2 linked regions of the Anolis sagrei genome follow. The protein of the gene in region 2 interacts with the protein of the main gene of each other region in a pairwise test. Links are inferred from orthologs where the notes say so. Each region holds a gene or a part of one and is shown on either strand. Other genes may lie near its edges.

Region 1 (11,553 bases), on a different chromosome or scaffold from region 2:
GCAGGAAAAACACAAAGTTTATCAAAAAGATATAAAACATAGGATTCCGTATCTAACTTGAGAAAGTGCAAGTTGCTTCTGGTGTGAGAGAATTGGCCATCTGCAAGGACATTGCCCAGGGGATGGCCAGATGTTTGATGTTTTACCATCCTCGTGGGAGGCTTCTCCCATGTCTCTCAATGAATAGCTGGAGCGGACAGAGGGAGCTCAACCTGCTCTCCTCAGATTCAAACTGCTGACAGCATAAGAGTTTAACCCATTGTGCCACCAGGGGCTCCTCATATCTAACTAATATATGCATATTGCTACCATGAAAATAGTTGGATCTAGCAAGCCCTACCATAAATGTTCAAACATTTCCATGTGGATTAATTAAAACAAAACCCTTAAATCTATGTGAGAAGTTAAAAAGCAACAGCATCCTTCGCTGTGCACAACAGCCAAAACAGAAACACACAGAGCTATAAAGATACACACAAATCACAATTGCTTGGAAATGCCTCCTAATCGACCTAGTGGATCTCCTTCTATCTCTCAGGGTCTTTCCATATAACCCAGAATATCAAGGCAGAAAATCTCACAATATCTGCTTTGGACTAGATTATCTGAAGGCACTTCCACACAGCCCTATAACCCAGAATATCAAGGCAGAAAATCCCACAATATCTGCTTTGAACTGGATTATCTCAATCCACTCAGATAATGTGGGATTTTCTGCCTTGATATCCTGGGATATAAGACTGTATGGAAGGGTCCTGAGTCCACACTGCCATATATTCCAGTTCAAAGCAGATAATGTGAGAATTCAGCTGTATAGAAGGAGCCTAAGCAACTTACTCCTGATGTTGTACCGTATTAGGCTGCATTTCCCATTTAATTTCTCACGAGTAAACTTGAGTTAGATCAAACTGTCAATCCCAGGCTTTAGAAGGCAGCCTAAGAACACTAGACTTTTAAACTGTGAGAGCTCCACTATCTAGTTCACAGTGCATGCAAAAACAACACACTCATAAACTTTGCCTATAAAAATATGATCTCAACTAAGCACATCCTTGTCTTATGGTTTTTGCCAATCTGTTAAGAGAAAAATTAGGGCACCAATGAAAGGTCTTCAGACTGAACGAACAGTTCCATTCATTTCCGTGCTCACAAAAAGGCCAGAAATTAACATGAAAGTACAGATGTTAACAGAGAATAATCCGTAATCCTCAACATCCCTATACAAGCACATCAGGGTGGATTTACCAAGAGCAAATATACCACCATAAGGACTACTTTCATTAGTCGAACTACCCAAACATATAGTTTATGGGACATAATCCATTGGGAAATTCTCCTGCACAAGCCTCCCTGAAAAGAATGGGAAGCCGAATGTTGTACAACATCCATCAATTCCAGCAGAGCTTGCTTATAGCATTGTATATTGAAAAATAGGTCTTATATATACACTGTAATGTAAGTGGGCAAATCTGGAAATCATAAAGAGGAAAAATGATATGCTATACATTCCTTTAAAACAAACCCACTTCATTTAAAATACAGGCTCGGCTCACAGATCATGTGATGAAATGAAACAGATTTTCAGCCCCAAATGTGAGTGAAGCAGATCATTTTCTCTCTCTCAAGGGTCCCTCTGTTAAATATGCCACAATGAATTAAGATCATGTGTAAATAAAATAGGAGAGCGTGATTCAATTAAGATTTGACCTCCTTTTCTTCTGTAAGAACTCCGATAAGAGGAAAAAAAGGTATTTCCTCAAAATGTAATAACAGATCTAACATCAAGATGACAACTCTAAACAGCTCATGTAACTAGCACTGGAGGCAATCTAGGCAGCAGAATGGAAATATGGGGGGCGGGAGGTAAATGTACTCTTCCAAAGACAGAAATACACAGAGGGCCCTTCCACACAGCCATATAACTCAGAATATCAATGCAGAAAATCGCACAATATCTGCTTTGAACTGGGTTATTTGAGTCCACACTGCCATACATTCCAGCTCAAAGCAAATAATGTGAGATTTTATTTAGCTGTGTGGATGGGACCCGAGGAAAGGATGAGAGATGTCCCCATTTTCCCTCCATTTAGTCAACACAACAATCCATGCTAAATATAAATACATAATGCTCTGTAAATACCCACCCCTTGCTGACAGCTTTTTAGTGTTGATAATTTTGGCAGCATACTCTTGTCCCGTTGTGATTTTCATGCATCTTCTCACCACAGAAAAAGCCCCCCTGCAAATCAATAAATCAGAGAAATATCAGTGTCAGCTGGGACTTTGCTCCTTCAGAAAGGGACCAATAATCGGTGAAGATGTCAATTTGAGCAGTGTTGATACAGAAGGCAGGGAAATGAACACAACATTAACCTTAATTGATATGGACTGCAACAGTAGATTATGTCTGAGATGTAAGCACGAGCCCTATTATTAAACTGAGTGAATATATATACATCTCATTACAAGTGGCATCAAGAATCGGCTATGGTTTATAACAGGTGTGGTATACATCTTTCTCAGCTTTTTCTGCCAAAGCCATTAGATATATATACATTCCTGTGATGGAATGGCCTTTTCCCCCCTTTAAAAATGGCACTGAGTAAATAAAAGGCCCTCCTCTCATCCTGTAAACATGGCATTCTGTGTTTATTTAAGCGTAAACACTCTAGTCTCGCTGGAGTGGGTAGGATGCAATAAATCTCAATAGAAACGGTTGGGAGCCAGAGCATTCATTTACAATGCCCTGGCTGAGAAAGAAGCCTGGAATTCGGAGGGCTGTGTATAACACATTTGCTACCTTGGTGGCATCAGGCAAACATTTTGAGGTCTTTTCTATTTCCAGAATTGACTTTACACTTTGGGGATCATATATATGAAAACACAAGGGAAAGCAAGGTCAGTGTACTGAATCCCAAGCGCTCCTTTCCCATCACAACAGGCAGTGGAGGTGATGATGTCTTATGCCATACACTGATTTCTGTCGCTATTTTTTATTATTATTTTGAAAACTTAAATGGGCATTCCTACTTGAGCCATGCATGTGAACCAGAGGCCCATTCCCTTCGCTCCTGTGGACGCCCCAGTTTCTTCCATTCCCACCCAAGACAGGTGAGAAGGGGAGAAAATCCCAAAACTCATCTGATGAAGGATTTTGTGGATTGCTCTGAGTTTTCCGAGCTGTATGGCCATATTCCAGAAGCATTCTCTCCTGATGTTTCACCCACATCTATGACAGGCATCCTCAGAGGTTGAGGGGTCTGTTGGAAACTAGGCAAGTGAGGTTTATATATCTGTGCAATGCCCAGGGTGGGAGAAAGAACTTTCCTCTTCTTGAGGCAGGTGTGAATGTAGCAACTGGCCACTTTAATTAGCATTCAATGGTTTGGCAGCTTCAAAGACTGGCTGGTTGCTGCCTGGGGAATCCTTTGTTGGGAGGTGCTAGCTAGCCCTGATTGATTCTTGTCAGAATTCTGTGAAGGGAGGAAGTGGAAGGGAAGCTCGGCATGGAGGAGTCGCTCGACCTGAGAGCGCTGAACTTTCTGCCTCGGTAAACGTGGCACCTCGAGCGTCTGAAGCGGAAAGCCGGCTTCGTCCGCGGAATGGGGGCAGCTGCGCCTCCTTCCTTCCTTCCCTCCCTCCCCACCGGCACCTCGGCCTTCCGCCTCCCCCTCTTTCTGCCGCCCTTCTTCCGCGGGGACTGGGCTGGAGCTGCCCAGGGGTGGGCTCCCTTCTCCCGTGAGGAGATGCTGCCAATGACCCTGGGCCAAGGGCGGGCCGAGGCACGGAGCGGACTTCAAACACACCCCTCCCTTGGAAGGGGATGAAGGCCCACATCCAGCCCATGCGCGCCTGGCCTCCCAGCCCTCAAAACGGACCCATTTCCCCCTTGCCTCTTTCCATCATCCCTTCCTTCTTCCCTTTCCTTCCTTCCTCTCCCTCTATATTCCCTTTTCCCTTCCCTCCCTTTCCCTCACCTCTTCTTCCCTTTCCTTCCTCTCTTCCTACATTCCTTCTTCCCTCTTTCCTTCTCTCCTTTTCCATCACCCCTTCCTTCTTTCCTTCCTTCCTCTCCTACTATATTCCTTCTTTTCTTCTCTCCCTTTCCAGCATCCCCTCCTTCCCTCTTCTCTCCCTTCCTGCGTTCCTTCCTTCCCTCCCTCTTTCCATCATCCCTTCCTTCTTCCATGTCCTTCCTTCCTCTCCTACATTTCCTCTTTCCTTCTCTTCCTTTCCAGCATGCCTTCCTTCCCCCTTCCTTCCTGCGTTCCTTCCTTCCCTCCCTCTTTCCATCACCCCTTCCTTCTTCCCTTCCCTTCCCTCCTCTCCTCCTACATTCCCTCTTTCCTTCTCTCCCTTTCCAGCATCCCTTCCTTCCCTCTTCCCTCCTTTCCTTCCTTCCCTCTTTCCATCATCCCTTCCTTCTTCCCTTTCCTTCCTTCCTCCTATATTTCCTCTTTCTTTCTCTTCCTTTCCAGCATCCCTTCCTTCCCTCTTCCCCCCTTCCTGCGTTCCTTCCTTTTTCCCTTTCCTTCCTTCCTCTCCTCCTACATTCCCTCTTTCCTTCTCTTCCTTTCCAGCATCCCTTCCTTCCTTCCCTCTTCCCTCCCTCCTTGCATTCCCCCTTCCTTCCTTCCTTCCTTCCTTCCTTCCTTCCTTCCTTCCTTCCTTCCCTCCCTCTCCCCGCGGGGCCACTCACTTCCCGAGCTCCTCGAAGAGCTGGTACTCGTCGGTGAAGCGGGTGCAGGTGGCGGTGGAGGCCATGGCGGGCGCGGGGGGCTTCGGCGGGAGGAAGCGGCGGAGCGAAGGGGGCCTGGGCAGCAGCAGGAGCGGCGGCGGCGGGAAGAGGAAGGCGAAGGCGCGGCCGCTTCCCTTGCCTTTGCCTCGCCGCCTGGGCTGCCTCGTCCTCGGCGTCGTCGTCCGGGCGAGCCCTTCTGCCCGCCCCCTCTTGGGCAGCTCCTTTTGGGCGTCCCCGGGGCGGAAGGAGGGCGGGAGAGAAGGGAGGGCCCACACTTCCTCCCTCTCCCCTTCTTTTCGGGGTTGGGCTGGGAAGGAGGCGAGTCTCGGCAGCAGCAGCAGCAGCAACTCCGACGGCAACCGTGACGGGCTTAATAATTATCCGTCCCGAGAGAGAGAGGGAGAGAGAGAGAGGCGGCGGACTGGAGCCGAGGAAGCGAGGGCGACAAGTGTCCCTTTGGAGGCGACCTGGGATGCCCTCCTGGGCGCAGTTCCCTTCCCGACGCCCAGCCTGGCCACGCAAAGCCACTCTGCGCTTCAGGTCAAGCCAGGCTGGCGACCAGCAGCCCCTTCCTTCCTTCCTCGCTGTCTTCCTCTTTCCTCCCTCCCTTCCTCAGGCTCCAGCTTCTCCTCCTCCTCCTCCTCTCTCGGTCCCACACCTCCCTCTAGCGACAGCCGGGCTCTTCCTCTCGCCGGAGCGCTGGGCAGGAAAGCGGCGCGCTGCCCGCCTGACCTCTCCCGCTCTTTCCCCTCCCTCCCTTCCTCCTTCCTTCCTTCCTTCCCTCCCTTTCCTCTAAGCCTCTGTTGACACACACGGAGCGCAGTCCTTGAGAGCTCCACGTCCTCGCCAGCCCTCCAAAATCCTTTGGCCTCCCTAAACGGGTGTTTGGGAAGGGGGTGGCCGTCTCACAGGCACCCACCAAGGGAAGGGCTCTCCCTTGATTTCACGGCTCTTTTCTATTTTGGTTGCTCTTGTGTGGACCAATAAGTCTACACATTCCTGGCTTTCGGAAATGCTCCTCTGAAGAGGAAAGAGGCTTTTCGGGATACCTCATCATCTCCCCTCCCTTTCCTTTTTTGAGGGGAGGAGGAAGGAGCCCCACCCCCGGGGTGATTCCCTCCTTTTCCCTCCCCTTTGCTTTGGGTGGCGTCACAACCCGACACGCGCGCCCGCTCAGCCACTCTCTGGGTGGAAACGCAGCAGCGGGGAGGGGGGGGGGGGGAGGAAATTAAAGCGCCACTTCCAAACTCTCGCGAGACTGTTGCCAACCTGGTTTAAGGAGAAGGCGTCGTTGGGATGCTGCTTGTAAGAGAGCTTGTGAAGAGGGAAGAATGCAGTTGCCAAAGGGGGGAAAAAAGGCACAGATTCCAAGGCAGCATCTTCCACTGCTGAACAGCTCTCGCTGTCAAGAAATTCTTCCTAATGTTTAAATATTAACAAGTCAAATTGATCTAAATCAGGGGTCCTCAAACTAAAGCCCGGGGGCCGGATATGGCCCTCCAAGGTCATTTACCCGGCCCTTGCTCAGGGTCAACCTAAGTCTGAAACGACTTGAAAGCACACAACAATAAAAACAATCCTATCTCATCAGCCAAAAGCAGGCCCACACTTCCCACTGAAATAGTAATAAATTTATATTTGTTAACATTGTTCTTCATTTTAATTATTGTATTGCTTTTAAGTGGTTTTTGCACTACAAATAAGGTATGTGCAGTGTGCATAGGAATTCATTCATGTTTTTCCAAATTATAATCCGGCCCTCCAACAGTTTGAGGGACTGTGACTTGGCCCTCTGTTTAAAAAGTTTGTGGACCCCTGATCTAAATGTTCAGGCAGAATATCTTTTCCTGCAATTAAAATCCACTTCTCCATGTCCTAGTCTGGAGTTAGGTGCCACCTCTATGCAGATGACACACAACTCTACTACTCATTTCCACCCAATTCCAAGGAGGCCTCCCGGGTCCTGGACAAGTGCCTGGCCGCTGTGTCTATCTGGATGAGGAGGAACAAGCTGAAGATCAATCCAGACAAGACAGAGGTCCTCCTGGTCAATCGTAAACCTGACCGGGGTATAGGGTGGCAACCTGTGTTGGACGGGATTACACTTCCCCTGAAACCACAGGTCCACAGTTTGGGAGTCCTCTTGGATTCATCGCTTACACTTGAGGCTCAGGCGTCGGCGGTGTCTGGGAGGGCTTTCACACAATTAAGACCCGTGCGCCAACTGCGACCGTACCTTGCGAAGGCTGATCTGGCCGGGGTGGTCCATGCCTTGGTCACCTCTAGATTGGATTACTGTAATGCGCTGTACGTGGGGCTGGCCTTGAAAACGGCTCGGAAATTTCAACTGGTCCAACGAGCAGCAACCAGGATGTTAACTGGCGCTCCTTACAGAGAGAGGTCAACCCTCCTGTTCAAGGAGCTCCATTGGCTGCTGTTTATCTTCCGAGCCCAATTTAAGGTGCAGGTGCTTACCTACAAAGCCCTGAACGGTTTGGGACCACCCTACCTGCGTGACCAAATCTCCGTCTACGAACCCACGCGTTCTCTCCATTCATCTGGAAAGGCCCTCCTCGTGATCCTGCCTGCGTCGCAAGTGCGTTTGGTGCGGACATGAGGCAGGGCCTTTTCCGTGGTGGCCCCCGACTCTGGAACACCCTCACCAAAGATCTTAGACAGGCCCTACATTGGCAGTCTTCAGAAAGAACTTGAAGACCTGACTGTTCCGATGTGCCTTCCCAGAATAGGAAATCTCCAATACCAAGTCCCAGAAGCACTTTATTAGAACTAAGATTGCCGCACTCTGCACATTGCACTTACCCAATAATCCTTACATATCACCTGTCACATCAGCACTTTTAATTCTGTACCCTTTACTCTGGCCCGGCCAGGTTTTATTGTGTTTTGGTGTATTGTTTATTGCTTGTTGTTTTGCTGTTTAATATTGCTTTAATTGTTTTTAATTTGCTTTAGGTTTGTATTGTTATGTTGAGTTTGAGGCCTTGGCGTTTGTAAGCTGCATCGAGTCCTTCGGGAGATGCTAGCGGGGTACAAATAAAGTTAATAATAATAATAATAATAATAATAATAGTCTCAGAGCAGCAGGAAACAAGCTTGCCCCTTCCTCAATATAGCATCCTTTCAAATATTTAAATATGGCTCTCATACCCACCCTGGAAGTCACTCCATTATCTGGCTCAAAGATAGTTGTCATGTTAAGGATTGCATTGAGAGGTTGCATTTCTGTGCACACTTTTAACAATCCTCACTGAATGCAATGGGGTTTTGGAGTGATTAGGTATTGCACTCTTAGGCATGCGTATCTGTAAACCTCATGATTTTCCTGAACATTTTGATGCCACCCTCTTATTTCTCAGTGTCCCTTTTCAATCCTGATTATATGTATTTTAAGTTTTCATTGCATCAAAGCATTTCAAATGAAGACATTTAAAATACAGATCAAAATTCAAAGATATAACTGTTGACAACTATAATTATAAACTGAGAAGTTAACCATGGCCGAAAAACAACTACTCAAAAATCTGTAACATTAAATTCTTGTCAGAATTCATGTATGATGTTGTTTCATAGTGGTACATGTCAAGCTAGACCAGCATTTCTCAACCTAGGGGTCGGGACCCCGGGGGGGGGGGGGAGGTCATGAGGGGATTTCAGAAGGGTCACCAAAGACTATCGGAAAACATATATCTTTCTTTTTTTATTATTAAATTTTTATTGATTTTAAATACGTATACAAAATACAAAAGAGTTACAACACATGTGAGAGGTAGGGCAAGGGAGAGGGAGAAGAAGAAAAAAAGGGGGGGGGGGAATGGGGTATCTTTCTGATAGTCTTAGGAACACCTTTGGCAGAGAAGGCCGAAGATCTTTCCACCTATCCTTTTCTTCCTTTTTGGAAACAGATGGCAAATCCTCCTACCATAAGCCCCCCCTGCTGTGATTGGCTGGCCTCTCAGCCAAGGGGAGAGCTGTTTCTGAGACTCCACACAAGGAGGGGGGAGCAGGCGTGTTCGGTGCATGGCAGCGTGGTGCACATGTGCGGGAGAGGGAAAGTATGTGAGGTTGGAGGGAGGCTTGCACCAGTGAGTCCCTTCAAGGCATGAGGGTTTTGTGAGGAATGTTTGGCCTAATTCTATCATTGGTGAAGTTCAGAATGCTCTTTGTAGGTGAACTATAAACCCCAGAAATTACAACTCCAAAATGTCAAGTTTTATTTTCCCTAAACTCAACAAGTGTTCACTAGGCCTGGGCGGTTTTGTTCGTTAATTTTGTAATTTGTTAAATATTCATTATTTTTAACAATTACAAAATGATTACAAAACTTATTTTCAAACCCGGAAGTGTTTTTAAATATCGAAACGGCTATCCTCCATCTTTTTTACGAGCTTCCGCCCGTTTCGGAAATGACGTTTTAGGGATGGAGGATGCTGGGTGCGCCGGGAGCCAATCCGGCGCTCCCAAGCACCGTGGCTCATTGTGATTGGGCGGGCTGCCCTTTAAAAGCGGCTCCGCATGGCCGCATTACTCATTGCGAAGGCGAGGAGACGGGAGGTGCGGGAGGGAGGCATGGCTTGCTTGCATTCATTCATTGCTTGCATTCATTCATTCATTCACATTCATTGTTGGGAGAGCGAGGGCGGTTTAAGGACCTGGGCTGGGAGCAGCGGGGAGGCTTTGCCTTGTTTTCGCCCCACAACAGGGCAGGGCAAGCATTTTGTTAATTTTCCATTTTTAAATATTTCTGATAAATATTTCTTTTATTCTTAAAAAAAATCAAAAAATATTCTAAAAAAAGAAAAAAAACTTGTGTGCCTGTGTGTGTGTTTGTCCCTGTCCTGCGGCTGTGTTTGCTCCACAACAGGGCAAGCATTTTGTTAATTTTCCATTTTTAAATATTTCTGATAAATATTTCTTTTATTCTTAAAAAAAATCAAAAAATATTCTAAAAAAAGAAAAAAAAGTGATTTGCGCATGCGCGCGGGGGGGGGGGTCTGCCATCTTAACGAATCGATTCGTTAATAATAACGAAATTTCGTAAATACCGAACCCTTTTAAAGGAAAATTTTGTAATTCTTTTAAATAACAAAACGCAAAACCCCCCCAAAAACGAATCAATTTTAGAAACAAATTTTTGCGTTGTTACCCAGGCCTAGTGTTCACATTTGGGCATATTGAGTATTTGTGCCAAGTTTGGTCCAGATCTATCATTGTTTGAGTCCACAGTATTCTCTGGATGTAGGTGAACTACAACTCCAAAACTCAAGGTCAGAGACCAAACCCTTCCAGTATTTTCTGTTGGTCATGGGAGTTCTTTGCGCCAAGTTTGGTTCAATTCCACCATTGGTGGAGTTCAGAATGCTCTTTGATTGTAGATTAACTATAAACCACAGCAACTACAACTCCCAAATGACAAGATCAACCACCACACCCCACAACCCCACCAATATTCAAATGTGGGTGTATTGGGTATTTGTGCCAAATTTGGTGCAATGAATGAAAATATATCCTGCATATCAGGTATTTACATTAAAATTCATAACAGAAGCAAAATTACAGTTATGAAGTAGCAACGAAAATAATTTTATCATTGGAGGTCACCACAACATGAGGAACTGTATTAAGGCGTTGCGGCATTAGGAAGTTTGAGTTATTTAAATACTGAACAGACTTATTATTTCCAATTCGTATGTGTGTTTGCATGCCATCATTGAGTTTCTTCCCATTTATAACGGAAACAGTAATCTAATCTTCTGCCTCAGTCTCCATAAACAAAGAATCAAGTAATTGCAAAATAATAACATTCCACCCCACCTCTTTTAGTTCAGGATATTTTTCCAATTTCAAAACACAATGAGCTTGTGGTTGCATGGTTCATTGTAAAGATAAATGATTTTAATTTTCAAATTATGAGTCCAGACATCACCAGCATGTCAGTGTTAGTTTTTAACTCAAGGGAGACATTCTTTCATATTCTTACTGAAGTATATATAAACTGATTTATAATGCAAAGCAGGGATAGGTATATAGAATATAATTAAACCAATGAATATAATTTCTGAAGCAATAAATGCCCATGTCTTCCAATTAATGTGGGTTAATTGGAAAAAGGCATGTGTATAATTTCATTGTGTAACTGTATCTGGGTACTTTACTTAGCTCATCATTGGCATAAACCGACACCAAAGAGAAGAAAGCATGCTATGAAAGAAAGACTTCACTAGTGGCTTTTAGGAGGGTATGCTGGCTTACAAGCAGCTAGATTTTCCCCTGGATATTGTTTACCTTGTAATGTGGTTGATATTAAAGAAAAACTGGAAGTGAAATATATGATTTTCTGAAAATATATTGTTGATATGTGCTTTCATGCCACTTCTGACATATTACAACCCTAAGAGCAAATCTGTCATGGTGGGGTCTTTGCAAGAATTGCTCATGGAGGGTTTGCCTTTACTTTCCTCTGAGATCAAGGGTTTGTGAATCGCCCAGTGTCACCCAGTTTGAACCCTGGTCTCCAGAGTTGTAGTCCAACAATCCTAAAACTATCAATTATTTTCATGAATAAGATACCATTATAGAATGTAAACCCTAGTAATATATATAGTATTTATTCCCTGTCCTTAAAACCCTTATGGCAGTGTTGCAGTAGGAATAAAAATACAGTAACAAACTATCACTAGAAAAGTAACACTATGTGAATAAAATACAGTAGCAAAAGATCTGTATAAAACAGTATCTCAAATAGAAAATCACAGAGCACTATAAAAGCTAGCTTTTGTAATAATGTGATGAATAAC
Region 2 (11,692 bases):
TGTGACATATTTAATAGTCATACCCTCAGATTTCAGCCGCGTCAAGACAAATATCAAATAGTTATTGAAATCAGGAAACTGGTTGAGCTGTTTCAGTTTCTGAAATACTAGTTAAGAAAATATTCTTAAAATTCAGGTAAATTCCACATCTGCATAATAGTTTAATTCAAACCAAATCCTTAGAGAAAAGAGACCCTAATGTTTTAAAGACGAAGGCATAGATTTTTGCTGCATCCCAAAAATATAACTTCATAGCTAATCTCTGGAGTATTTGCCTATCCCACTAATAATGTATTATCAATTGCTGTTTTCCCCTGTAATTTGTAGTTCCCTATAAATGGAAATTTGTTTTGTTTGACACCATCTGAAAAAATGTCTATAGAAACCTTAATAATTTCAAGGATACGTCTTGTACAATCCGCTGGGTTGCTGTATTTGGAGACTGGGAGTCTTTGAGTAACTGAAGTACTTGCTGGAGACCCTGCTCATCAGGCTGCCAATCCATGATGGAAACCGCCTACCTGGAAAAGGTACAAGAGTGATCTAAAAAGAAATACTGGAATCAAATGCACAGCCAACAGTAAACCCACTTCCTTCAGAATGCCACTCAGGTATTTCAGGCAATGTCAAACAAGAAAGAACTTCACACACTGCACCTATATGCAATCAAAACAATTAACCCAGGAAAAAGAATACTGTCTTGCTTCAACCTATATGCTAATGTTTTTAATTGTATTTTATGGTATTGGGGCATTAAATTGTTGCAGACTGTAAACCGCCTTGAGTCGCCTTCGGACTGAGAAAGGCGGTATACAAATATGGTAAATAAATAAATAAACCTGGATAAGAAAAGGAATACAACAAATTAAAAGGGATTTAAATGCCACAGATATCAGGGGACTTTGCTATCAAGATCTAGAAAGATATATTAATACAGAAATTAGCATTTAGCATTGCAGCACTGACTTGTCAAAAGCTAATCAGGGACTTGCAGAGGTTGTCTTGTCTTTCCCATAGATAATAGAAGAATATGTAACCCTACATCTCTCTACATTTAAGCAGCTGGTCATACCATCAGGTTGTTGTGATTATTGCTCCTGATTATATCAGGTTTGCAGAAACTACCTAGTAAAATTATGTATGAGCAGGTATGTCTGCTACAATGCAATTATTAAACATGTATCGCATGCAATCCAGACATCTTCTTGCAGGGCTGTGCATGTGTTGCATTTCCCAATCTCTAGATACTGCATGGCATATTTTGTATCTATGACATTTTTTGACATAGGCATGTTTTAAATACGGCCAGTTATATCAATTAGCAACACAACTAGATATCCTTTCACCAGGCCTTTGAGATTCTTTATTTGTGTGATCCCTTCTAAATCTTATTGCAGATTGAATATCCCTTTTATGGAAGCATTCGGCTACTTCAAAGAAGTCACTAGCCTACTTTAAATTTAGTAAGTCATCAGAACCTTTATGTCAATTTTTATTTTCTATTGCAACTACTACCTACAATAAATGTACCACAGGCGTATTACTTTTGAATTCAATACCTTCAATTACCAATTAATTCTGAGTCTAATTATCAGAACGAAAGCTTAAAGGGCCCCCATGCAAAGACTTAATAGTAGGCTGGAGCCATATGCTCACTGGTGTGCTAGTAAGCCCTAGAAAATGGAGCATACTGCCAGCTGAAATGCAAGATCTTCAGTTTGGAAAAATCCTCTCAAGGAAGAGTGAAAAAGCAAGTGGAGGCCCCACTGGTAGCTCCTTCTCTGAATTTCAAGAGACTGTAAATATAGTCCCCTTGGATCATTCACAATCTCAATGTTAAAATCCAACTGTTGCAATAATACAGGTTAAGTATTCTTTATCTGGAATGACCAGGAGTATTCTGTCTTTTATTTTAATTTTAGAATATTTACATAATGGGGGTATCTTGGAAATGGGACTCAAGTCTAAATTTGGGTTGCTGTAGGTTTTTCGGGCTGTATAGCCATGTTTTAGAACAGTGGTTCCCAACCTGGGGTCCCCAGATGTTTTTGGCCTACAACTCCCAGAAATCCCAGCCAGTTTACCAGCTGTTAGGATTTCTGGGAGTTGAAGGCCAAAAACATTTGGGGACCCCAGGTTGAGAACCACTGTTTTAGAAGCATTCTCTCCTGATGTTTTGCCTGCATCTGTGGCGAGCATCCTCAGAGGTTGTGAGGTTTTGTTTCTTATACATCAGTGGTCCCCAAACTAAGGCCCATGGGCCAAATGCGGCCCACAAGTAAATTGATCCAGCCCTAAACTTTAGACTTACGGTCACCCTAAGTGTGAAACAACTTGGAAGGCACACAACATCTTGACTGTCTCATCAACCAAAAGCAGGCACACTTCCCATTAAAATAATGTTAAGTTCATGTTGGTTAAAATTGTTCTTCACTTAAAATAATTATTGTTCTTTCATTTTTTGGCATTATAAATAAGATACATGCAGTGTGAATAGGAATTCACTCATGTCTTTTTCAAACTACAGTCCAACCCCCCCCCCCCCCCCCCGCCAAACCATCTGATAAACTCGGCTGATATGCATCTTATACTGGATATGCTTAGTCTGGAGAAAAGTGGCTGAGAAGGAAACCTGATAGCCATGTTTAAATATGTGGAAAGATGTCACATTGAGGAGGGGGCAGGCTTCTTTTCTGCTACTCTGGATACAATGAAGCAATACATACTCCTGATACAATGAAGCAATACATACTCCTGATACAATGAAAGCACACAACCAACAACAATAATTGTAGGAGAAAAGATTCCACCTAAACATTAGAAAGCATTAGTGTGGTGGAGCCTCCTTCGTGGACATTTATAAGCAGAGGCTGAATGGCCATCTGTTTGGGGTGCTTGGATTGGGTGTCCCTGTATGGCACAAGGTTGGAATGGATGGTTCTTGGGGTCTCTTCCAACTTTGATTCTATATACATAGCCTGAAGGTAATTCTATGCACAATAATTTTGTGCACAAAACATTTTCACTGATCCATCTGAAAGTAAAGGCGACTTTTTCTCAGTCACCCACATGCACACCCACGTGCACAATTTGGGATTTGGGCATATCTTGGATATGGGATGCTCAGCTAATGTCAAGAAAGGGCCATTCTAGTCTGGCTTTTTTCGTGTCAGAAGCAACATGAGAAACTGCAAGTCACTTCTGGTGTAAGAGAATTGGCCATCTGCAAGGCTGTTGCCTGAGGGGTGGGGCATGGATGTTTTATCATCCTGTGGAGGGGTTCTCTCATGTCCCCACATGGAAAGTTGGAGCTGACAGACAGGAGCTTACCCTGCTACCCAGATTCAAACCACTGATCTTTCGGTCAGCTGTCCTGTTGGCCATGGGGGGGGGGGGGGCGCTCCTATTTCTAGTCTGGTAAATCACTGTTTATTAAACCGTGGATCCTGTGGGGTCCCCCTTTGCTCAAAAGAAAAATTGGCAACAGAAAAGTGTTTCTAAACGCCACCATTTCCAAAAATCTTTTAGCAACAAGGCGCAGTGTTTACAGTGGACTCTGCAGAAGATGCTTCAGCTGTACTCCACCAAAAGGGAACTCAGCACTGCAAATGCTGCTTTGTTTTCAGTAAACGCCTGATTTCTAGACCCATGCGATGTAGTCCTAGATACCTGAGGCCAGGTAAAAATGGGCGGGAAGGGGGTCACTCCTGGAAGAAAAGTTGAGGCCCCTCTGGATGAGCGCGTGGGCCGGAGGCTGGGCAGCGCACGTGCTCAGCCCGAGGTCCCCTCCCCGGCGCCCCCCTGGCCACTTCCGCCGCTTCCCCACGGGGCCCCGGGGGCACGTGACACCAGCCTCGCGCGATCAAGGGCCTCCCGGGACAAAAGAGGCCTGGCCGGTCGCCCAGGGCAGCGCTCGGCTCCTTCCTTCCCTCCCACCCTCCTCCAAAGGCGGGAGGCCTCCGAGAAGCGGGCGCTTCGTGTGGGGCGGCATCCCGTCGCGGCTGAGGGCTTCTTCTTTTTTACAAAAACAACGGACCCCTCCCTATTGTTTGGAAAGCAGGGGCTCTTGGTGCGTGACTAAGGCGCGCGTGTGGCGCCGGCTCCGCTCTCTCCACGCCGCGCGGGCCCCTTTGTGTGCGGCGGCGCCGGCGGCGGGGCCTCCTCCTCCTCCTCTTCCTCTTTGTCCCGACCCCCGCCCTCAGGCCCCGCCCGCCCGCCTCACTCCCGGCCTCCCCCTCCTCCCCCTCGGCGGGGCTCCGCTGAGGGGCCTCCTCCTCCTCCCCCTCGGCCTGCCCGTCCCCGTACTTGCCCGCTCGCTCCCGGCGCGCCCAGGCCCAGGCGGCGGCGTCGGTTCCGGAGGCGGAAAGGGGGCGGCGAGCTGGAGGAGAACGCGACACGCGGGCGATGAGCCGGGCCGGCCGCCGTCCCTGCCGCTCACGTGACCGGCAAAAGGAAGAGGAGCGGGAGGAGCCAAGCCGCTTGCGCACGTCGAGGCACGACCGCCGGCCGAGTGCGTCATGTGGCCGCCAAGGAAAGGGCGGTAGCCACGCCCCTACCCCACCCCATTGGCCCGCGTGAGCAGCGCGCCAAGGCTGGCGGGTGACGTCACCGCAGGGAGGCGCACCCGCTGCCATTGGCCCTCAAGACAGGCCACGGGGCCCAGAAGCAGGGCGGGCTGCTTCCGCATGTGGAGCCCTGCTGCGGAAAGAGAAGGGGAGAGATGCAGATTGGCTCCCCAGGGCAGAACTTGCCAAGCATCTCATGTTGGGTTGCCGTAAGTTTTCCGGCCTGTATGGACATGTTCCAGAAGCATTCTCTCCTGACGTTTCGCCCATATCTGTGGCAGGCATCCTCAGAGGTTGTGACCTCACAACCTTTGAGGACGCCTGCCATAGATGTGGGCGAAACGTCAGGAGAAAATGCATGTGGAATGTGGCCATACAGCCCAGAAAACTAAAAGCAACTTAGTGATTTCGGCCATTAACGCCTTCGATAACACATTTCACGTTAGTGACACATGTTCATTCGTTTAGTCATTTCCGACTCTTCATGACCCCATGGACCAGCCCACGCCAGAGCTTCCTGTCGGCCGTCACCTCCCCCAGCTCCTTCAGAGTCAAGCCAGTCACTTCAAAGATGCCATCCATCCACCTTGCCCTTGGTCAGCTCCTCTTCCTTTTTCCTTCCTTTTTCCCCAGCATCATTGTCTTCTCTAAGCTTTCCTGTCTTCTCATTATGTGGACAAAATACTTCATCTTGGCCTCTACTATCCTTCCCTCCAATGAGCAGTCGGGCTTTATTTCCTGAAGTATGGACTGGTTGGATCTTCTCACGGTCCAAGGCACTCTCAGAACTTTGCTCCAGCACCACAGTTCAAAAGCATCTGTCTTCCTTCGCTCAGCCTTCCCTTTGGTCCAGCTCTCATTTGTTAGATATATATTATTTTGCGACACAGTAATTCAGTTGTACTAACCAAGCAGAGGTTCAGGCAACCCTTTATAGGAGAGATGAATGCACGTATAAATTGTAGCAAAGAAGGAATAGAGACACAACATACCTAATGAAAACCTTTCATTTACATTTTTACAAATAGCACAATAACAGCTGACACAATGTGTCCTGACACACAATTTGGAAAGCTGTCCTGGGAAACAAATGCAATGGTCAGGGGCCCATCCCAAAAGTGTGGATGTAAGGTCCAAATGGAGCTCAAATCCACAAGATTACAAAAAATAAAGATAATAGCAAAAATTTGACCTTAAAGGTATAGCTTTTCCTTCTTTTTAGAAAAAACATGGTTGTGATACAATATGAACAGGTTAGATGGGTTTCAATGTCAGATATTTGTGCCCTGCTTGGCTCCTGAAGCAAAAGAGTCGGAAGAAGATTTGGAAACAGCTGGACAGATCTGCCCCCTTCAAGCTACCTTGTTTGAAGGATCATGCCTCAAGTGTCCTGTGCAAAACTGGCCATCTTGCTGTGGGAACTTGATCCCCTTGGTCAGTCAGAGGCAATGTTCTGCCTGCATACATGCATACGTAAGATTCTGAATGGACATCTGTCAGGAGTTCTTTAGTGATTTTTCCTGCATGGCAGGGGATTGGGCTGGGTGGCCCTTGTAGTCTCTTCCAACTCTTCAAACAGCTAAACAGTGTTGGAATTTAACACGCAATTCAGGCATGGGGAACCTTCGGCCCTCCAGGTGTGGTGGACTTCAACTCCCACAATTCCTTGAGGCTCGGCATTTGCCCCAAAGGCTTACCGAGCCTCAAGGAATTGTGGGAGTTGAAGTCCACCACACCTGGAGGGCCGAAGGTTCCTGACCCCTGACGCAATTGAAGACCCATCTCTTCCTAACCAGTTAACTTTCAACCATGAATTTTGATCTGCATTCTGTTACCACTATATGGCAATTCTGTAGCTGTGTTTGGTATAAGTTTTCATGTGTGTGTGTTTATATATGTAATTTATTTTATGTTGATTTGTTTTTCAATTTATTGTACCCTGCCTTGAGCCATCAGGAGAGGCAGATAATTAATAAAATGTATTATTGTTATTATTTTTCTAGTTTATCCTGTAGAGAAGTCATGTAGGAGTATGTATTTGGGGAATACGTTGTTCATTCATTCAGTCGCTTCCAACTCTTCATGACCTCATGGATCAGCCCACACCAGAGCTCCTTGTCGGCCGTCACCACCCCCAGCTCCTTTAAGGTCAAGCTAGTCACTTCAAGGATACCATCCATCTTGCCCTTGGTCGGCCCCTCTTCCTTATTCCTTCCATTTTCCCCAGCATCATTCTCATAGGCTGTTAGGAATTGTGGGAGTTGAAATCCAAGATACTCTCCCTTGATTTTAAAGCAGGCATGGCAAACTTTGGCCGGTAGGCTGTTAGGAATTGCGGGAGTTGGAGTCCAAAACACCCAGAGGGCCAAAGTTTGCCTATGCCTGTGTTAAAGCAATACAAGCTATCTTTCAACTGCAAATATGTTGCTTCCCTTCTGTGGAGAACGGGTTTGAGGGTGCTGCCTTTTTCACTATTCTAGTTGTTGTTGTTAGGCAATCCCTCGTAGCTTAAGGAAGATGGTATTCCAGATGTGGTGTCTTGGCAGTGGGTCCGTAGGTGGCTGTGGAACATATTCTTGATCCACATGTTCTCCTGCAGTGAGGACATCGATTTCCAGATGGTAGGCGGTCCCAGTCAGGGTTGGCTTGACACACCTTCCACTTGGCACGTTTCTCCCTTTCACCCTCCATTCGTGCTTCTTTGAATTCTGCAACACTGCTGGTCACAGCTGACATCCAGTTAGTATTCTAGTAACATTAATATGAACAGTACAGTGCATCAGGTCCTGTAGAAATGATAGATAAATGCCATGTATTAGAACACACTCCCCAGGGAAATGTGATTTACTCCATCTCCCCTTTCCTTCGGGAAAAGCTCAAAACATGGTTTTGGGACCAGGCGTTTGGGCAGCTGGCTTAACAGCACTTGCAATGTTGTATTTGAATTGATAATGCACAGGCTTTGGACTGGGTCTCTCAATTGAACGCAAGTTGTTATTGTAATAATGTTTTAAATGTGTATTTTATAATTTAATGTTTTAATTAATGTTAACACATTGAATCTGTGTTATATTGTTATGGTGTATATGTTGGCATCTAATTGCTGCCAATTGTAAGCCGCCCTGAGTCCCCTCTTGGGGGTTGAGAAGGACGGGGTACAAATGTTTGAAATAAATAATAAATATATGTATATAATAAAATTCAGTGTTTGTATGTGTGTGGTGGGTGGTGTATTTGGCAGCTTTCTGATTGGCTGCCACTTCCACAGGCTGCTGCAACCTCCACAAATAACTAACCTGGACCAAACTTGGCATACATAATCCCCATGACCCCCTGGTGTGGTTTGGGGGAGGATGGACCACGGATTATGGGATTTGCAGTACTTTCAATTTGTTTTGGCTCCCACAGACCACTGTGATGCCCACCAATGATGGAACTGGACTGAACTTGGCACACAGAACCCCCATGACCCACTTTACATCCTGGTGTGGTTTGGGAGAGGATGGGCCATGGATGATGGGATTTGCAGTACCTTCACTTACTTCCAGAGATCACTACAACCCCCATGAATGATGAGCCTGGATTAAACTTAGCACACAGACCCAATGTGGCCCACTTAATGTCCTGGTGCAGTTTGGTGGGAATCCCAACCACGGATTATGGGATTTGCAGTATATGCATCCAATATACCTCCCACACACTATTGTGATGCCCACAAATGACTGGGTTAAACTTGGCACACAGAACCTTTCATGATCCACATCCTGGTGTGGTTTGGAGGAGGCAGGACCATGGATGATGAGACTTACAGTACCTTCACTCACTTCCAGAGACCACTGTGACCCACACCAGTGACAGATCAAGACCAAACATGGCACACATAGTCCCCATGATGCACTCTACATCCTGCTACCGTCTGTGGGATGATGGACCATGGATGATGGGACTTACATATGGGAGTAGTAGTTTAACCGCACCCACTGAACCCAGTCAACATTAGATCTAACTAAACTTGGATTACAGACGGAGCCCCCATGACCCACTCTACATCCTGGTGCAGTTTGGAGGAGGATAGACCATGGATGATGGGACTTGCAGTACCTTCACTCTCTTCCTGAGACCATAGCAACACTCCTCCAATTACCAATAAAGACCAAACTTGGCACAGAGAACCCCCATGGCCAACTCAATATTCTGGTGCGGTTTCGAGGACGGACCATTTAGACTACTGCAACGCTCTCTACGTGGGGTTGCCTTTGAAGACGGCTCGGAAGCTCCAACTAGTCCAACGCTCGGCAGCCATGATTTTAACAGGAGCGGAGCACAGGGAGCATACAACCCCCCTGCTGCGCCAACTCCACTGGCTACCGATCTGCTACCGGGCTCAATTCAAAGTGCTGCCGTTGGCCTTTAAAGCCCTAAACGGTTCCGGCCCAAGCTACCTATCCGACCGCATCTCGGCCTATGAACCCACCAGGACTTTGAGGCCCTGCTCTCGATCCCGCCTGCTTCTCAAGCACGGCTGGCGGGGACAAGAGATAGGGCCTTCTCGGTGGTGGCTCCTCGGCTGTGGAACGCCCTTCCTACGGACATTAGACTAGCACCATCTCTAATGGTATTCCGCAAAAAGTGAAGACCTGGCTGTTTGAGCAGGCGTTCCAATAATTAGTGCAATGATTGGTTAATGAACACTGGAATGGAACAATGGATGATGAATCTGGAACATGTTTTTGATGATGAGACGACAGTGAATGGGTATTGTAGTGACTGTTATTAATTGTGTATGTTAGGTTGTTAACTGTTTTTATACTGTAGCACTGAATTTTTGCTGTTCGTATTTGTTGTGAACCGCTGTGAGTCGCCTTCGGGCTGAGAACAGCGGTATATAAATAAGGTAAATGAATACATAAATAAGCTAGTAATAAATAAATAAATAGATTTCAAAGGAGCTGGCGTGGCTGAGTGCCTTCTGCACTGGACTGTGACCCTGGAGCTCAGGGCGAAGAACACGGCGCTCTCTGCGCCTTCCCTCTCTAAACGTCTCCCCACCTTGGGCCAAGCGTCTCCTCGCAGTGCGCAAGCGCGGAGTCCTTGGGTGCCGGGACTACGCTTCCCGGCATGCCGCGCGGGCGCCCCTGCTGCTGCTGCTGCTCCTCCTCCTCCCCCGCCGCCTCCTCCTCCTCCATTCCGGCGCTGGCCGAGGAAGGTGGCCCGGACCCCGGGCGGGGGCTGGGGCTGGGGCTGGGGCGGGCATGGGGGGCTGCCTCTCCTCGCAGGCGGCGGATGACCTGTCGCTGCTCAACGACTCCACGGGCGACGGGGCCAGCCTGGGGCCCGGGGACCCTCCGCCGATGGCCCCGCCGCCCTTCCCTGCCCCGCCGCCCCCCTACCAGGTAGGCAGCAGCAGCAGGAAGAGGGTGCGGGAGGGAAGGAGGAGGGAGGGAGGGAGGGGCCCTGGGGTAGAGTGTCCCCCTTCCTCCCTTCCTCCCTTCCCTTGGGGGCCTGCAGTGGAGGCTGAGGAGCCCCGGGGGTCCCCTTGCGGCTGGAAGGAGGCGCGCCTTGTGATGAGGATGATGAGGATGATGCGCGTGCTGCCTGTCCTCCTGCCACCTCTTGGTGGGCTTTCAGGGGGGAACCTTGTTTCCTTCTCTGCAGAACAATAAAAGTGTGTTCAGGAAGAGGAAAAGGAGCAGCTGCATCATAAAGTGACACTACTCTCCAGTGGCTCTAATGATCAAGGGTCTGGAGAACAAGCCCTATGAGGAGCGGCTTAAAGAGCTGGGCATGTTTAGCCTCAAGAAGAGAAGGCTGAGAGGAGACATGATGAGGGCTATGTATCAATATGTGAGAGGAGGGAGCAAGCTTGTTTTCTGCTACCCTGGAGACTAGGACTTGGAGCAATGGCTTCAAACTACAAGAAAGGAGATTCCACCTGAACATTAGGAAGAACTTCCTGACTGTGAGAGCTGTTCAGCAGTGGAACTCTCTGCCCCAGAGTGTTGTGAAGGCTCCTTCTTTGGAGGATTTTAAACAGAGGCTGGATGGCCATCAGTCAGGGGTGCTTTGAATGCAATTTTCCTTCTTCTTGGCAGAGGGTTGGACTGGATGGCCCATGAGGTCTCTTCCAACTCTATGATTCTAAAGCAGGTATGGGCAAACTTCGGTCCTCCGGGTGTTTTGGACTCCAACTCCCACCATTCCTAACAGCCGCTAGGCTGTTAGGAATGGTGGAAGTTAGAGTCCAAAACACCCGGAGGGCCGAAGTTTGCCCATGCCTGCATGTAATGCAAACACCACTGTCTAAGTTCAAGGCTGTGGAACCACTGGAGTTATCATTGCACAAAGTCATTTTTCCTGCCAAAGGGTGAGCAAACTACAGATCCCATGATTCCATAGCCTTTAAACGCAGTTAAAGTGGCGTCAAACCCTATCCCTTCTCTAATGTCAGCTGGATCCCACCTTATTCAAAAGTCTAGGAAACTGAAAGTTGGCACAGTGCTTTCTTAAGCAGGTGGCCATTTTACTACCAAACCGAAAATCATTGCACATATACATTATTTGCTCCTGAACAGATGTATTTATTGGTTTGTTGTTGTGGCAAGAAGGAAGATTGAGACAATGAGAACACACAGGGAGGTGCTTCCCAACCTTTTTTTTTTAAACCAGGAACCACTTTGACCAGGGACCATTCTCCAACATTAGTACCAAAATGGTTATGAATCAGTTTTTGGCCAACTTTAGATTCGGTTTAGTTATTTGGGGTGCTGCATTGGATAGACCACATCAGCTCTAGTTTCTGATACAGAACACATGCTATCCAGTAGTTGCCATCTGCTTGCCCACAGAAAACTATATTTAATCATCTAGAGCTGATGTGGTCTATCCAATACAGTTTTACTGAATCAGCACCCCAAATAACCCCAGGAACAGGCCTAAAAACGAAGACACCAAGGCGAACCTGGGGGTCCACAGGTTGCGAACCACTGATCTAAGCTCTGTGACTGCAGCATTTTTAATGAAACACCCAAAGTGTTTGAAGATTGGGACATTTGTAGAGGTACCAAGATGCTTGCTTATAAAGCTACTAGCCCTCCCCTGCCATGCATTGCTGTAGCCCAGTCTGGAAA

The links.
Region 1: the proteins of TNPO2 (region 2) and CAMK2D interact in binary tests that used the Homo sapiens proteins (3 or more experiments, as listed by UniProt). The two-hybrid records come from large-scale screens. The link is inferred for Anolis sagrei from reciprocal best matches to the Homo sapiens genes TNPO2 and CAMK2D.

Annotation. Positions count from the first base shown.
Region 1 is NC_090025.1:33,135,354-33,146,906, forward strand, and holds the start of CAMK2D (calcium/calmodulin-dependent protein kinase type II subunit delta), read right to left. Parts: upstream 5,825-11,553; 5' UTR 4,765-5,824; coding exon 4,700-4,764; intron 2,240-4,699; coding exon 2,145-2,239; intron 1-2,144. UniProt on the Homo sapiens protein: Calcium/calmodulin-dependent protein kinase involved in the regulation of Ca(2+) homeostatis and excitation-contraction coupling (ECC) in heart by targeting ion channels, transporters and accessory proteins involved in Ca(2+) influx into the myocyte, Ca(2+) release from the sarcoplasmic reticulum (SR), SR Ca(2+) uptake and Na(+) and K(+) channel transport.
Region 2 is NC_090022.1:111,816,453-111,828,144, reverse strand, and holds the start of TNPO2 (transportin-2), read right to left. Parts: upstream 4,516-11,692; 5' UTR 4,310-4,515; intron 518-4,309; 5' UTR 506-517; coding exon 407-505; intron 100-406; coding exon 24-99; intron 1-23. Other genes in the region: RING finger protein 11-like, read left to right, coding at 9,818-9,958. UniProt on the Homo sapiens protein: Probably functions in nuclear protein import as nuclear transport receptor. Serves as receptor for nuclear localization signals (NLS) in cargo substrates.